Caenorhabditis elegans: one gene and its partner. The protein of the gene in region 2 interacts with the protein of the main gene of each other region in a pairwise test. Each region holds a gene or a part of one and is shown on either strand. Other genes may lie near its edges.

Region 1 (7,389 bases), 7.2 Mb from region 2:
ACTTTTCAAACTGATCTAATAAGAAATTTGGCTGAAATGTACATTTTTCATTCAAGAAATGAAAATGGAACAGTAATGTTAACTTTTTGGTCATTCTCCAGTTTTCTAAAGACTATTATAGATTTTGATCATTTTTTTCAACCGTTCCAAAAACGATGCACTTTGTCCCCAGCCAATTGACGGCGGCGGAAGCTCAACGTTTCGTTGCTCATAATAGTGCGTCACTATCCTTGCAGTCCACCCAAGAGCAGGTGAAACGTGTTCCTCTTTAAATAATCAAACATATCAACAAAATTATTTTCTATATTAACTCACTGAAATAAATATCGAACTGATCGGAATACTTCTCAATGAACGCACGCGCATCGAAATTATCTGGAAGGGACACCCTAAGCAGTATATCGGTATTATGTACGTATCCAATAATGAGCAATGGCTGAAAAACTTCAAAAATTAAAAGCAATAAAAGTACAGTCTAACTCACTTTTTGATGGTCAGCAAGAATTTGAAGCAATTTTGCATTGCTTTCAATAAACTGAAATTTTCTCCCAACTAGTTTCGGAGGTTCAACTGGCATTATTTTTGAATTGCACATCTCAATTAGCCCGTCAAGCAAATAAAATTGAGCTTCTACTAGTAGTTCCTTCAATTTCAGTTCACAATTGGGTAGAGCCACGTCACCATCTCTCATGAAATTCAGTATCAAGTCGAAATGTTTCGGGGAGCGATCAATAAAAATGCATCCAGATTCGTCGAGTTTCAGCTGAAATTTAGCAAATTCAAAAATGGACAATTTAAAAAACAAACCCCAATGTCGCATTCCAACATAGTTTTGAAGAATCCATTGAACTTTGTTAATGTAGATTTCGAAGTTTTGAATATAGTTCCGCCAACGTCTAGTTTCACAATTTCACTCATTTTTGAAAAGTTTTTGAGTGGAGAAAAGAGAAGAAGTAGAGTGAAATTTAGTTATCAGGTTTATCGAGCAGTATTTCGAAATTTTGTTTTCCTCAGAAAAGAAAAAATTTTCAAAAAATGTTCTGTTTACTTTTCCATTAATGTGATGAAAATTAAAGAAACAAACAAACACTTAAAAAGAAAACAGAGTGAAATTCTGCTATCAGTGAGTCGATTTAATTGTTCAGCCTTACCAAATTGTTGTTTTTTTCCTCAGAATTGCAAAATTGGAAGTTTAAGTTTGTTTGTACTGTATTATTTTTAAAACTCTCTATAAACTCACTTCCAGTTACAATACTCCCAATAAAATGAAAACTCAATTTATTTCAGTTAAACAATCACTTCCGTGAAATCCAAGAAGGTTTGGATATCCATGGAGGTGGGGGAGAAGATACAGAACAAGTTCGTGCGCTTTCAATAATTGGTAGCTTTTTAATATTACCCAATTCAATGAGTCCATTCAGCAAATAATATTGAGCCTCTGCCAGCAATTCTTCCAATTTTCGGGAAGTGACAGGTCACCATCTCTCATGAAATTTAAAATCCTGTTAAAATGTTTCGGGGAGCGATCGATAAAAATGCATCCGGATTCGTCAAGTTCCAGCTGAAAATTTTCAAGTTTTCAAATCAGGTAAGAAATCAATATCATGAAACCCCTGTTCCAGATTCCAGCATAGTTTTAAAAATGCTATCGAGTTTCATTAATGTATCTTTTGAAGTTTTGAAAATAGTTCCGCCAACGTCTAGTTTAACAGTTTCACTCATTTTTGAAAAGTTTTTGAGAGGAAAAAGAGAGAAAAACGGAGTGAAATTGTGTTATCAGTGAGCCGATCGATTTTGAATTATCAGTGTTGCGAAATTTTGTTTTTTTTTTTACAAAAAAATCAAAAATGTTAAGAAATAAAAAAAAACTTCTGAATTGAAAATATTGTCAAAAAATCCACAAAATGAGTTAATTATCTCTTTCTCTGCTTCTCCAAATACAAATATTGACCAAACTCCCCAATCATTTTTTCTAATTTTTCCAAAAAAGTTGCATCCCGAATTATCCGTCCGCCTCGATTAATTCGAAGATTGTGCGGAAATTGACTATAATATCCATTCTCGGTAGATTTCCACTTTATCCTAGCTTTCCATTTTCGAGAAGGTTCGTCTTCACTCAATCGCTCTTAATCGATTACGGTAATCAGACCCTTTCACATTCAAACATAGTTTTGAATAATCCATCACATTTTATTAATGTCGGTCTTGAAGTTTTAAAAATAGTTCCGCCGATGTCTAGTTTAACAACCTTGTTCATATTTTAAAATAGTTACGGTTTGAGGCACAGATGCAACCAAACTCAAAAAATAAAAATAAGAATGTTTGTTATCAATCAGACTTTGAACTTATCCATGTGTTTTGTGTTTAAAGATAAAAAAACAAGCTTACTAAATTATAATTTTTTAAGCTTCTAAATTAGAAATATTGTCGAAAAATCCATAAAATAAGTTAATTATCTATTCCTCTGCTTCTTCAAATACTCATCAAACTCCCCGATCATTTTTTCCAATCGTTCCAAAAATGTTGCATCCCGTATTATCCGTCCACCTCGATTAATTCGAAGATTGTGTGGAAATTGACTGTAATATCCATTCTCAGTAGGTTTCCATTTTATCCTTGCTTTCCATTTGCGAGAAGGTTCGTCTTCACTCAATCGCTCTGAATTGACTATTTTATGAGGATAATGTACAAAAAACTTACGAAAATAAATATCGAACTGATGTGAATACTTTTCCATGAACTCGTAAAGATTAAAGTTATAGGGAATCGACATATCATTCCCAACCATGCAAAATTCAATTATGAGCATTGGCTGTAAAAATTATATGTAGAGCTGAAATTTTTTGAAGAAACTGGTTAATTATTTTATGATTGACAAACGCCATACAGTGTGGCCTTACTATTAGGACTACAGCTTGCACTGGCCTATAGTTTAAGCCACGTCCTAGCCAGGGACTGTGGCCGATAATACAGTCATGGATTGCTCCACTCTCCAATACAGACTGGGTGAACCTAGGGGATGAGTCTAAACTTGAAACCGCAACCTCTAGCTTTCTAGCAGCTACCACTACCGACTGAGATATTCCTATGAATTTGAAAAACTACATTATTTTATCGAAACTCACCTTCTGTTGAACAGCAAGAATTTGAAGAAATTGTTCATCGCTTTCAATAAATCGAAGTTTTATCTTTGGAGCTTCAACAAGCTCAATCTTTGAATTGCACAACTCAATGAGTCCGTCGAGCAAATAGAATTGAGCTTCTACTAGCAGCTCCTTCAGTTTCAATTCACAATTGGGTAGAACCACGTCGCCGTCTCGCATAAAGTTCAGTATCAAGTCGAAATTTTTCGGAGACCGATCAATAAAAATACTCCCAGATTCGTCAATTTTTAGCTGAAAATTTGAAAATTTATCGGGAAATTTTTGGAAAAATCGGACCCCAATGTCACTCTCCAACATAGTTTTGAAAAATCCATTGAACTTTGTTAATGTAGATCTTGAAGTTTTGAATATAGTTCCACCAACGTCCAATTTCACAGTTTCACTCATTTTCGAAGAGTTTTCTAGGGGAGAAAAAGAGAAAGATGGAGTAAAATTTTGTTATCAGTTATAAGATTATCGATCAGTACATATTTCAAAATGATTTTTTTTAACAAAAATTAAAATTTCCAACAACTAAAAAAGATAACATTTATTTCTTTTTTCAACAATAAAATAGCCTTTTAGTGCAGGCATGTAATACACAAACACTAAAACCAAAAAAATTATTGAAAAAACAAAAAACCATGATAAATCATATTTTTTAGTGTTTGCTCTTTGATCAATTTGGACCTTTTTTGTAGAATTAAGTTTATCACAGCACATTAAGACTAGACCATCCAACCAGTAGAATTGAGCTTCTGCCATCAATTCTCTCAGCTCTCTTTCATCTTCTGGCAGTGGCAGATCACCATCTCTCATTAAATTCAGAATCAATTCAAAGTGTTTCGGGGACCGATCTATGAAAATGCATCCGGTTTTTTCAATTTTCGGCTGGAAATTTTCACGTTTTTTTTTGGAAAAAAACAACGATTTTCATACCCCAGTTTTGCATTCCAACATAGTTTTGAAAAAGCTATGGAACTTTGTTAATGTATCTTTTGAAGTTTTGAATATAGTTCCGCCAACGTCTAGTTTAATAATTTCACTCATTTTTGGAGAGTTTTTGAAAAAAATTGTAGAGGAGAAAAAGAGGAAAGTGAAATGAAGGTTTGTTATCAGTGAGTCGATCGATTTGAAGTTATCAGTGTTTTCAATTGATTTTTTTCCATACTATAATAGGTTTACGTTCGGGTCTGTTCACATTTCTATGATAGCATAATACAATGAAAATTGCGTTTAATAGCCACTAAAATAGGTAGCATTTACTAGATTTTTCAACAATAAAATAGCTTTTTAGTGCAGGGATGTAATACACAAATACCAAAAAAATTAATGAAAAAACAAAAAAACGAGTATAACTATTATTTTTAGTTATTGGTTTTTGATTTTGAATCATTCGGAAGTTTATTATAGTGCTAAGTTTCACACCGCACTTATTGTACAGTCCAAACATCTGATAGTAATTTGCTTCCGCACACAACTCTCTCAATTCCTTCTCAGTTTCGGGCAACCACAGATTCCCATCTCTCATTAAGTTCAGAATTAACTCGAAGTGTTTCGGGGAACGATCAATAAAAATGCATCCGGATTTTTCGAGTTTCGGCTGAAAATGTTCAGGTTTTTGGAGAAATATAGTCAGCAACATTATACCGCAATATCACTTTCAAACATAGTTTTAAAAAAGCTATCGAGTTTCGTTAATGTATCTTTTGAAGTTTTGAATATAGTTCCACCAACGTCTAGTTTAATAATTTCGCACATTTTTTGGAGAGTTTTTAAAAAAATTGTGGGGAAGAGAAATGAAGAAAGTGAGATGAAGTTTTGTTATCAGTAAGTCTATCGATTTGCAATTAACAGCCATTTTTATATTTTTAACAAATTTTAGGAAATAGTGGCGGTGGAGTTTTTTTCAAGACATGTATAGAAAACTTTCCGATTTCCGCTTTTGCAAATTGTGCAAAATTTCTGAAGGAATTTTTATAAGAAAAAACGGATGACACATATTTTTGACATTTTTTCTCGTTTTCAGCAAGAATTCTAATATATTTTTTCTCATTTTTCATGTAAGATACGTGTAATTTTGCAGTTACAACTGAAATTTCAAAATTTCCAATAAAAAATGCAATACCTCAGTCGAAATTTTTCGGCAATTGAAGTTTTTGGCAGCTTCACAAAAAATTGAAAAATTTCCCATATTTTTTGAAACCAGCAGTTTCCGAAGATTCCAATTGCCAAAAATTTTCAAAACACTACAGTTTAAAATTGGGGTTATAACTTCATTTTTTTTTGTTTTTATAATCATACAGTGTGGGAAAGTTCTATAGGACCCCCCCTAATTTGAAGGTTTGAGGAACTTCCGAAAATTTTTTCGAAAAACTGCTAATGCCGTTCGTTTTTAAATTGAAAAAAACCTATATAAATTTTTTTCCAGAAGTTTATCTCAAAAACTGAGGTCGCGCTGGAAAAAACGTCAAAATCCAGTGTGAAACTTCTATAGGACCCCCCGTTTTTTTTCACGATTTTTACTAAAATCAACAGATTTTGGAATTTTTGACAAAGCTCAAATCAAGTTTGAGTTAGAAATGAGTTCATATAAGCAGTTTTGACTTTAAAAAATTAATACGAAATGTTCTCGTGGGATCTCCAGACTGGTTCTGATTCTTCCGATCTTTGATGTTCAAGTCTGTTTCAAGCTTCCTGGTGCTCTCGGTAATGCCAAAACTTGATAAACTCTCTTTAACAAGTTCCTACTAAAATTCCTAGCACGCACTTTAGATGTTTCGACTGTGTAGTCAAGCTGATTTGGCAAAATATGCAGCAGGAAACAATGGAAGGCTTATCAGGAATCAAATCGTTTTTCTTTGATTACAAGGTTCCATGGGACCAATATTTCAAGTTAAATTGTCCCTCACAGATGTTATTTACTATTTTTTGCGTGAATTATTAAATGTGGAATTGTGGCATGTGTTGTGGCACACATATAGAGGCTGGAAAGCTTACTTCGAAAGCAGTCTAACTTGCAATGCCTCGAGGATCTGCCCTTTCGGACACTGAACGCGCTCAGCTGGATGTTATGAAATTGCTCAATGTGTCCCTGCATGAAATGAGTAGGAAAATTTCCCGTTCTCGACACTGTATTCGCGAGTATCTGAAGGATCCGGTGAGCTACGGTACATCTAAAAGAGCTCCTCGTCGCAAAGCTCTCTCCGTGCGTGACGAACGAAATGTGATTCGTGCTGCCTCCAACTCCTGTAAGACGGCAAGAGATATTCGCAATGAGCTTCAATTGTCTGCTTCAAAAAGGACCATCCTCAATGTCATCAAACGATCTGGTGTAATCGTTCGTCAGAAACTTCGCCCTGCTCCGTTACTCTCTGCAGACCATAAACTCAAGCGATTGGAATTTGCTAAGAACAATATGGGAACGAATTGGAGTAAAGTGAGAATTTAAAAAAGCAAGAGTGAATAATTAGGATCATTGTTTTAGGTTGTCTTCTCCGATGAAAAGAAATTCAATCTCGATGGGCCTGACGGTTGCCGCTACTATTGGCGCGATTTGCGCAAGGAACCAATGGTTTTTTCGAGACGTAATTTTGGAGGAGGAACGGTGATGGTTTGGGGAGCGTTCACGGAGAAGAAGAAGCTTGAGATACAGTTCGTCAGTAGCAAGATGAACAGCACTGACTATCAGAACGTCTTGGAACTGGAGCTCTCCAAATATCTTCGTCACTACTCCAGAAAAGACTTTAGATTTCAGTAGGATAATGCGACAATCCATGTGAGCAACTCAACCCGCGACTATTTCAAGCTCAAGAAGATCAACCTTCTTGATTGGCCAGCTCGAAGTCCTGATCTCAATCCAATCGAAAATTTGTGGGGGATTCTTGTCCGTATCGTGTATGCTCAGAACAAGACTTACCCAACAGTTGCATCGTTGAAGCAAGGAATTCTCGACGCTTGGAAGTCTATTCCGGACAACCAGCTGAAAAGTTTGGTCAGATCAATGGAGGACAGACTGTTTGAGATCATCCGCACACAAGGAAACCCGATTAACTATTGATCCTTTCTTGATTTTAGTATATGAATGTTCTGTTGTTGATCAAAAATAACTGCAACTTGTTAATACGCTGTTTCTGACTGGTTTCTTGGGGATGGCGTAAAAATGTTTATGGTGTGTGTGCTAGGAATTTTAGTAGGAACTTGTTAAAGAGAGTTTATCAAGTTTTGGCATTACCGAGAGCACCAG
Region 2 (6,593 bases):
GCCTGACTGAACTCATTTGCTAAGTGAGCATTTTTAACTTCACTGGCACAATAATCGATGGCATGTTGGTAACCGTAACTTCCGCCAGTTGCAGTAAATCCTCGAAGACAAACTCCGTATTGAGTTCCGTTGCCAGTAAACTGAACCCAGTTTTCTGGGCAGAAGCAGTTGACTGAAATAGTTGTTGTTTGAATTCGTACTCAACTATAATTTGACTAATGTGATAAATTACCCAGGTATGTTACATCCAACCAACGATTACAATCTTTGGTTCTCTATGAATGTTGAATGCATATTAATTCCAATTAGATAGTTTCAAGAGATTTCTAATGATATGATGCCACAGACATAATAGTCATTATGCATTTTTCAGTTAGTTAACGTAAAAATATATAACGTACTGCTCAATAGCGCCGTTGTCAACTGTTTAACCAATTTAGAAGTATTCATCTCATCCACTAAACTGAATTGAGGACTAGAAATCTGTGCTAATCCATCCAATGCTGCTTGATTCGTTGTGCACGCTACCGTAATGATAATAGTATTGTCATATTTCATGCGTCTAGCAATTGGGAATGCATCATTAGAGGTTCCTGATCCTCTGAAATTTAACTTTTTAGTAATGTTACATCATTCTTTCCAGCTTACTGATAATCAGCTGCAAAAACTATAACAACTTTCAGAAAGTTGAACCGATATGTGCGGCTACGCCCATTCTTGAGTGCTTGCTCAGCCGCCAGAAGTCCTCTGAAAGTTGGTGAGTTTTGAAACTTGTGCGAGTTACTTTTTTTTTAATGAAGATCTCAACTCACTTGCTCAAATACGACGAATTTGTAGAATCGACGTTGTTCAATGATCCTTGAACCACATTGTACAAATCAGTGAAACTGTGTGGTCCGTCCAATTGAGCGTTTGTGGTAGCATCGGAATCATACGTCACAACTCCAACACATGTACTACGAGGATCCGCTGGGTATTTAGTTGGACCGATTCGAGATGAGCCAAATAATTGAGTAATGGTATTTCTGACCTAAAAACATTGTTTGTTAATTTGGACATTTGGGAAATAATTTAAGATTTTTTTAAACTTTCAAATTAAAGAAAAACTTTGATTTTTAAAAATTACAACTAACCTGCCAGAGCTGTGCATTTGTCATCAGTTGAGACTTATCAACAACTACAACTACGTCCAACCACAAGTTTTTGATATCTCCCTGGCATACCCGGTCAGCATAGACTGCTGCTGAGTTCTGTAGAACCGGTGAACATAGTGTACCTAAAAAAAATATTTAAATTCATGTCTGGTTAACTGTCGAAACCTCACCTACAACTGCCAACGTTAAAAATATGACGAGTGTACTCATTTTTTGATCAACTTCAACTTTTCGACATTTTCGATAGCATTTAAACTTTCTTAAATACCCATTTCTTGTTTCTAGATTGCTTGTCATCATCACTTGCTCCTCGCTATTATCATCTTTTTTGAAAAGTGATAAGAACACAAATGGAAATACCGATAGTTGACGGAATTTTGGTCCATGAGGGGCGGGAGGAAAAGAAAACCGTAGTTGGTTGGCTAGACAGATACAAAAACTGCAAATTTGGGAGGTGCAATGATGATATCGGACTTTATGATTTAGAAATATATGATATCATTGTTAATCGACCTTTAGACTATGAGAATTCACAATGTTTTTTATAAAAGACTACCGTAATTTGAAAGTTTTCAGTCTTCCAAAAATAGAGAAACTTATTTTCAGTTTCAAGCGAGTTTGTTCGTTTCTAATAGTAAGTAGAATTGATTTTTAATTTTGTTGCAAATGTAGTTTTTTATAAGATTTGTGTTTTTTGAGCAAACTGCCACAAAATTAGTTTTGAATTTGAATAATTTTATTCTTTGAAAATTGAAAAAAAAAGTAAACAAACCGGCACAAAGAATTTCAGGGAGATTTTGAAATGTACAATTATTACGAGGGTTATGAGATCCGACAAATTAATCAAGAATAAAAATCACAAAAATGGAAACTGAATATGTTTAAACATTAAGCTGAAATACGGGCAGACTTCTTCTTGGATTCCATGAATAGCTCTGGATTGTCAACGAGTTTCACTGGAGATTGAGTCTTGGCTTCTGGATCGAAGAATGGATTTGGAATGAGCTGAACTGGAGCAGGAGATGTAGAAGCTGATTGTCCAGTTGATGTCGCTCCACTGCAGAATCCTGAATCCATTCCATTGTCGCTGAAGTGGGCATCATCGGAGAACTGTTCCTGATTGGCCAAGTTCTCGTAGTAACGGTACTCTTCTTGTCGCTTCATCATGAAAACAGCCATTTTCCGAGCATGCTCATCAAGGCAAGATTTCTGATGAGTACTGAGACGCTTATTACGAGGGAAGAATTGGAACATATCAGCATTGTTGTAAAGGGCGAAAGATGGAATGTAAGAGTACTCCATTTTGACAGTGAGAATTGAAAGTGAAGTTGTGAGTAAGAAAGAGCTAGGTAGCTAACAACTGGAAGATTTCCAGAATGAATGATTCTTATTTTTCCGGTTGTCTTTATATATACGGGCCTGAGTGCCACGCCCCCATTTGGTTGTTAACCAGCGTTCGACCGTTTTCCCACTGTGACAAGAGGAGATATAGGTGGGGGATACCTTGCACCTTTTACGATGAGACAGTTTTGATGGGTGGCTATTATTGATCGCTGTAAGTGGGGAGCTGGATGTTCAGATTGGTTTGAGTGTTTATCTTTATTTTTTCTGGGAAAAAATCTTTATTCAAATAATAAAAAATATCAAGGGCTAGTAGTAATATCCTCCACAGCAGCATCCACAGCAGTCATCATTATAATATCCTCCGTGTCCAGCATAAACTGGTGGTCCAACTGGTTGCACATAGGCAGGCGACGCGTATCCGTATCCATACGGAGATCCATACATTGGGGCACCATACGGGGAACCATGAGCAACATATGGAGTATATCCCGGCGCGTACATTCTTTCGATCGAATCGGTGAGAAAATAGGAATGAATTTATGTATATGAAAAATTAGAGAAAAAACATTACTTGTTAAAATTTTAAAAAAACACATTAACGCGGGCAAAAATATATTTATTTCATGAAATTTTACTCTCCATTTATTCAAATATATATTAAATGCCATGTGAAACATTTATTGGAACAATGAAAACTAACTGTTTGTTATATTTTCGGTGGCTTATGGTAAAACTGGAGCTGTCTAATCCTCTGCAACAAAGAGGATCAGATTTTATATTTTTTGTACTTTCATTTTTATCAATCCCCTTATCTTTTAATTGAATGTATCCACCCACAACTTTAAGTGCATTCCAATCTATTTCCCGCCCATTTTGATGTATATAAAAGAAAACCTTTTCATAATAAAGAACGACAAAAACCAGAGGAGACTGTTAATAGACTTCACGGCAGCCGCCGCGATAGGGTTTCCGGCGGTTGTCGTGACAGGAGCAACTACCACTACGTTATTGTCCTCATCATACTTGGCTCCACATCACTTGAAACCTGACTTCAGAGATATTGATCTATGTTCATTACATGCCTTAACACTTTCGAGAGCTTCTCTTTCAAAACGTAACGGTAGTTCTTATTCCTCATGATCATCACAGTGCATAGCAAAAGTGAATGTGTTGACACTATACATGGACACCAGGCTACGAATACTGGAAGTATCATCCTGTTAAAAGAATTTATTGCAGAAGAAACTCACCTTGCAACTCAACAGCTTCTAACCAGGAAACTACAGCATAAAAATAAACCGGAAAAATGAAAACACAAGGACAGGCCATTTGCATTGCTAAACTTATGAGGGCTGTTCGGTGCGTCTGATAGATTTGTACGGACATATGGGATCGGAGGCGTTGGAGGACAATCATTGTATGAACGCCAAGACAGGCGCCATGGCTGTAGTGTACTCTTTCAACTTTTTATTTATTGTATAGATTTTGAATCAAGCATTCTGAGACTATTTATTAGACAGACATACTCCAATCTATTTTTCCTTCAAATTCAAGTTTCTACATTCAAACTATTTCAAATTTTAGTAACACCCACATTGTACTGACGACCATAAATCCAATCCCCGCACTAACCGTCCTTACAAGCCAAGGATTCACATGATAGTCATACGCCTCGAAATTTTCTGATGCTACCCAAGATATGCACTGTGGGTAATTCTGAATGTCAATTTTTATGCATGGGTATCCTGATATCTCTCACCTGCAGCACATATTCATATTTCTGCTCAATAGTACTTTGACAATTTGAGGTGCCGATGGCGGTGAGAAATGGGAAAATGTGATTTAAAATCATGGCAAGTTTTTTGTGGGAATATTTACTGGAGTTGTTCTACAATATTGCTATGGAAAACATTTGAGAAAAAACTTTCGAGACCCACTTCATTGATTTGCAAAGCTGCATCATGTCTGTAGATAAAACAAGTTATACTCGCCGGAAGAACAAGACAGAGCAGGAATATCCATATTGTGAGAGCCATTTGATTACTCATTATTATGCGATGACCTTCTCTCAACGTAATGGCAGCTACCAGTGGAAAGAAAATATGGAGTGGAATCATCCATGCCATAATGATTTCAACTAAGAAGGAAACTATCTGAATATTTTTTTCTAACAACACATATGCTAGCAAAAAATCCTACCTGCACATATGTAAGACAATGTCTATATCCATACATGCCTGCTGACTGGAACCATATCATATACATTGCCAAAAGATTCATCAGTAGTGAAACGCCTCCGATTAAATGTAACGTTAATAAAAATCCATTTGGAGCAGCATTTCATTGTTTTTTGAAGTTTGGAAATCAATGGAAAGTTTTAATAACTTTCAGGAACAAACGCAACTAAATATTTTCACTCGGAGATGTGTGATTTTGAGATCAAATATGAAAGGTTGAGTGCTAAAATAAGAAGTAAAAGTTTGAAAAATGACAGATTTGAATTCACCTGTTCTTTACGTATCTGGGTTGTCGTTTTTCTGATTTGTGGTTTTTCTGTGCTTTCTGGTTTTTTTCTGGACCAAAAGATCGAAATTTTTTAGATTGGCCATGTTAATAATGCTCTAAACGTAGAGTACGACTATTGGAAAAATGATTAAAAATTATTTCAATGCTGCCGTGGAAATATGAATATTTTTAACATCAGTAGAACATAAAACAGGAAAAAATCGCTAAAACTTATCGAATGCGCTAATATTAATTACTGGAAATTTGACGTTGCAAGTTTTGTTTTAAATTTAAGAATATACAAAAATGAGCAACTTAAAAAATGATCACTGCTGCTCCACATATGTTGTGTAATGCTCTGTGCTGCTTGACTGAACCTGACAGACAAACAGCCATTCCGAAGTTGCACTGCCCACCCAATTGGTCTGAAATTAAGGAACAAATTGATGTTAGTTTCAGACTCAACGTGAGTAAAATACTTACCAAAATTCCATTCGCTTTAACACCAACTACTTGCCCAGTTGAGTTTTTCTGTGGGTATCCTGGTGCCCATGTTGAATAAATATCAGGATTCAACTATAAAAAATATACTCTTCATTAGATGATGAATGAAAACAATACCGGAAGTTTTGGTTGTCCCTTTGGCTCCTCCCAGACCCAAGTGGAATTTAAATAACGTAGTCCAATGGAGTAGTCAAGATGCATCCCACGATTGAATGTATTCATCATGTAGACTGAAACAATAATTAAATGAATTTCACAAGAATATTGGAAAAACGGTATCAATTAGGTACATATTCCTAAAATCTCAAAACTGCCGCACGAAAAAAACACTTATTTATATGCAAATAGACTTACGATTTATGAAGTCATGCTTTTCCTTGCTGAACTCGTTAGCCAAATGTCCTCTGCTTACTTGGTTCTGACAATATTGAACAGCATGGTCATATCCCCATGCGGAACCGGAAAAGTCGAATCCCTTGATACAAACTCCTAGTTTTTTCTTATCCGATCCCGTGTATTGAACCCAATCTTCTGGGCAGAAGCAGTTAACTGAAAAATTATCAAAATAATTCCAGAACCACAAAAAATGTACTTACTGTTTATAAGAGCACCTGTCAATTGTTTTACAAGCTTTGACGTATTCATTTCATCGACAAAAGCATACCCTGGAGTAGCACACATATTTATTCTTGGCAGTGCATAGCTGTCTTTTGTGCATGCCACGGTAATTATAGAGATTCCATTTGATTGTAGATCACGTGACAATTCTATTGCATTCAGATTGCTAAACTCGTCCCTGAAAATATTAAGCTCCGAAAAAAGCTTTCAACAATTTCAGAATCAAGATAAATAACAACCAAAATATTTCAAATGCAACCAACTCAAACAGTCATACAGGAAGGATTGTTTTGTGCATACTTTAAAAAATTATTACTAACTTTTCGTTTTCTTCGTTTCATCCTTATAAAAATTAAAAAGTTTTCAAATAATTTGGTCAAAAAATTGTAATTAAAAACATACTGAAAATCAGCTGCAAATGCAAGAATGACCTGTTTCACATTATATCGATTGGTGCGTTGTCTTCCG

The links. Proteins that work in one complex are often made in the same cells at the same time.
Region 1: the proteins of ZK666.2 (region 2) and ZC239.15 interact in a two-hybrid assay, tested with the Caenorhabditis elegans proteins (one large-scale study listed by BioGRID).

What each region holds. Positions count from the first base shown.
Region 1 is NC_003280.10:3,221,093-3,228,481, forward strand, and holds ZC239.15 (BTB domain-containing protein), read right to left. Parts: upstream 3,640-7,389; 5' UTR 3,552-3,639; coding exon 3,441-3,551; intron 3,396-3,440; coding exon 3,126-3,395; intron 2,813-3,125; coding exon 2,701-2,812; intron 2,659-2,700; coding exon 2,453-2,658; 3' UTR 2,241-2,452; downstream 1-2,240. Other genes in the region: ZC239.14 (BTB domain-containing protein), read right to left, coding at 106-266, 316-436, 485-763, 808-918; ZC239.13 (BTB domain-containing protein), read right to left, coding at 1,418-1,561, 1,612-1,722; ZC239.16 (BTB domain-containing protein), read right to left, coding at 3,678-4,034, 4,083-4,193; ZC239.17 (Potassium channel tetramerization-type BTB domain-containing protein), read right to left, coding at 4,390-4,788.
Region 2 is NC_003280.10:10,468,892-10,475,484, forward strand, and holds ZK666.2 (Spore coat protein), read right to left. Parts: upstream 3,000-6,593; coding exon 2,805-2,999; downstream 1-2,804. Other genes in the region: clec-143 (VWFA domain-containing protein), read right to left, coding at 1-172, 402-601, 649-747, 813-1,030, 1,134-1,276, 1,325-1,364; ZK666.1 (Pepsin-I3 domain-containing protein), read right to left, coding at 2,043-2,456; clec-58 (VWFA domain-containing protein), read right to left, coding at 5,330-5,428, 5,487-5,579, 5,625-5,737, 5,862-6,056, 6,104-6,303, 6,528-6,593.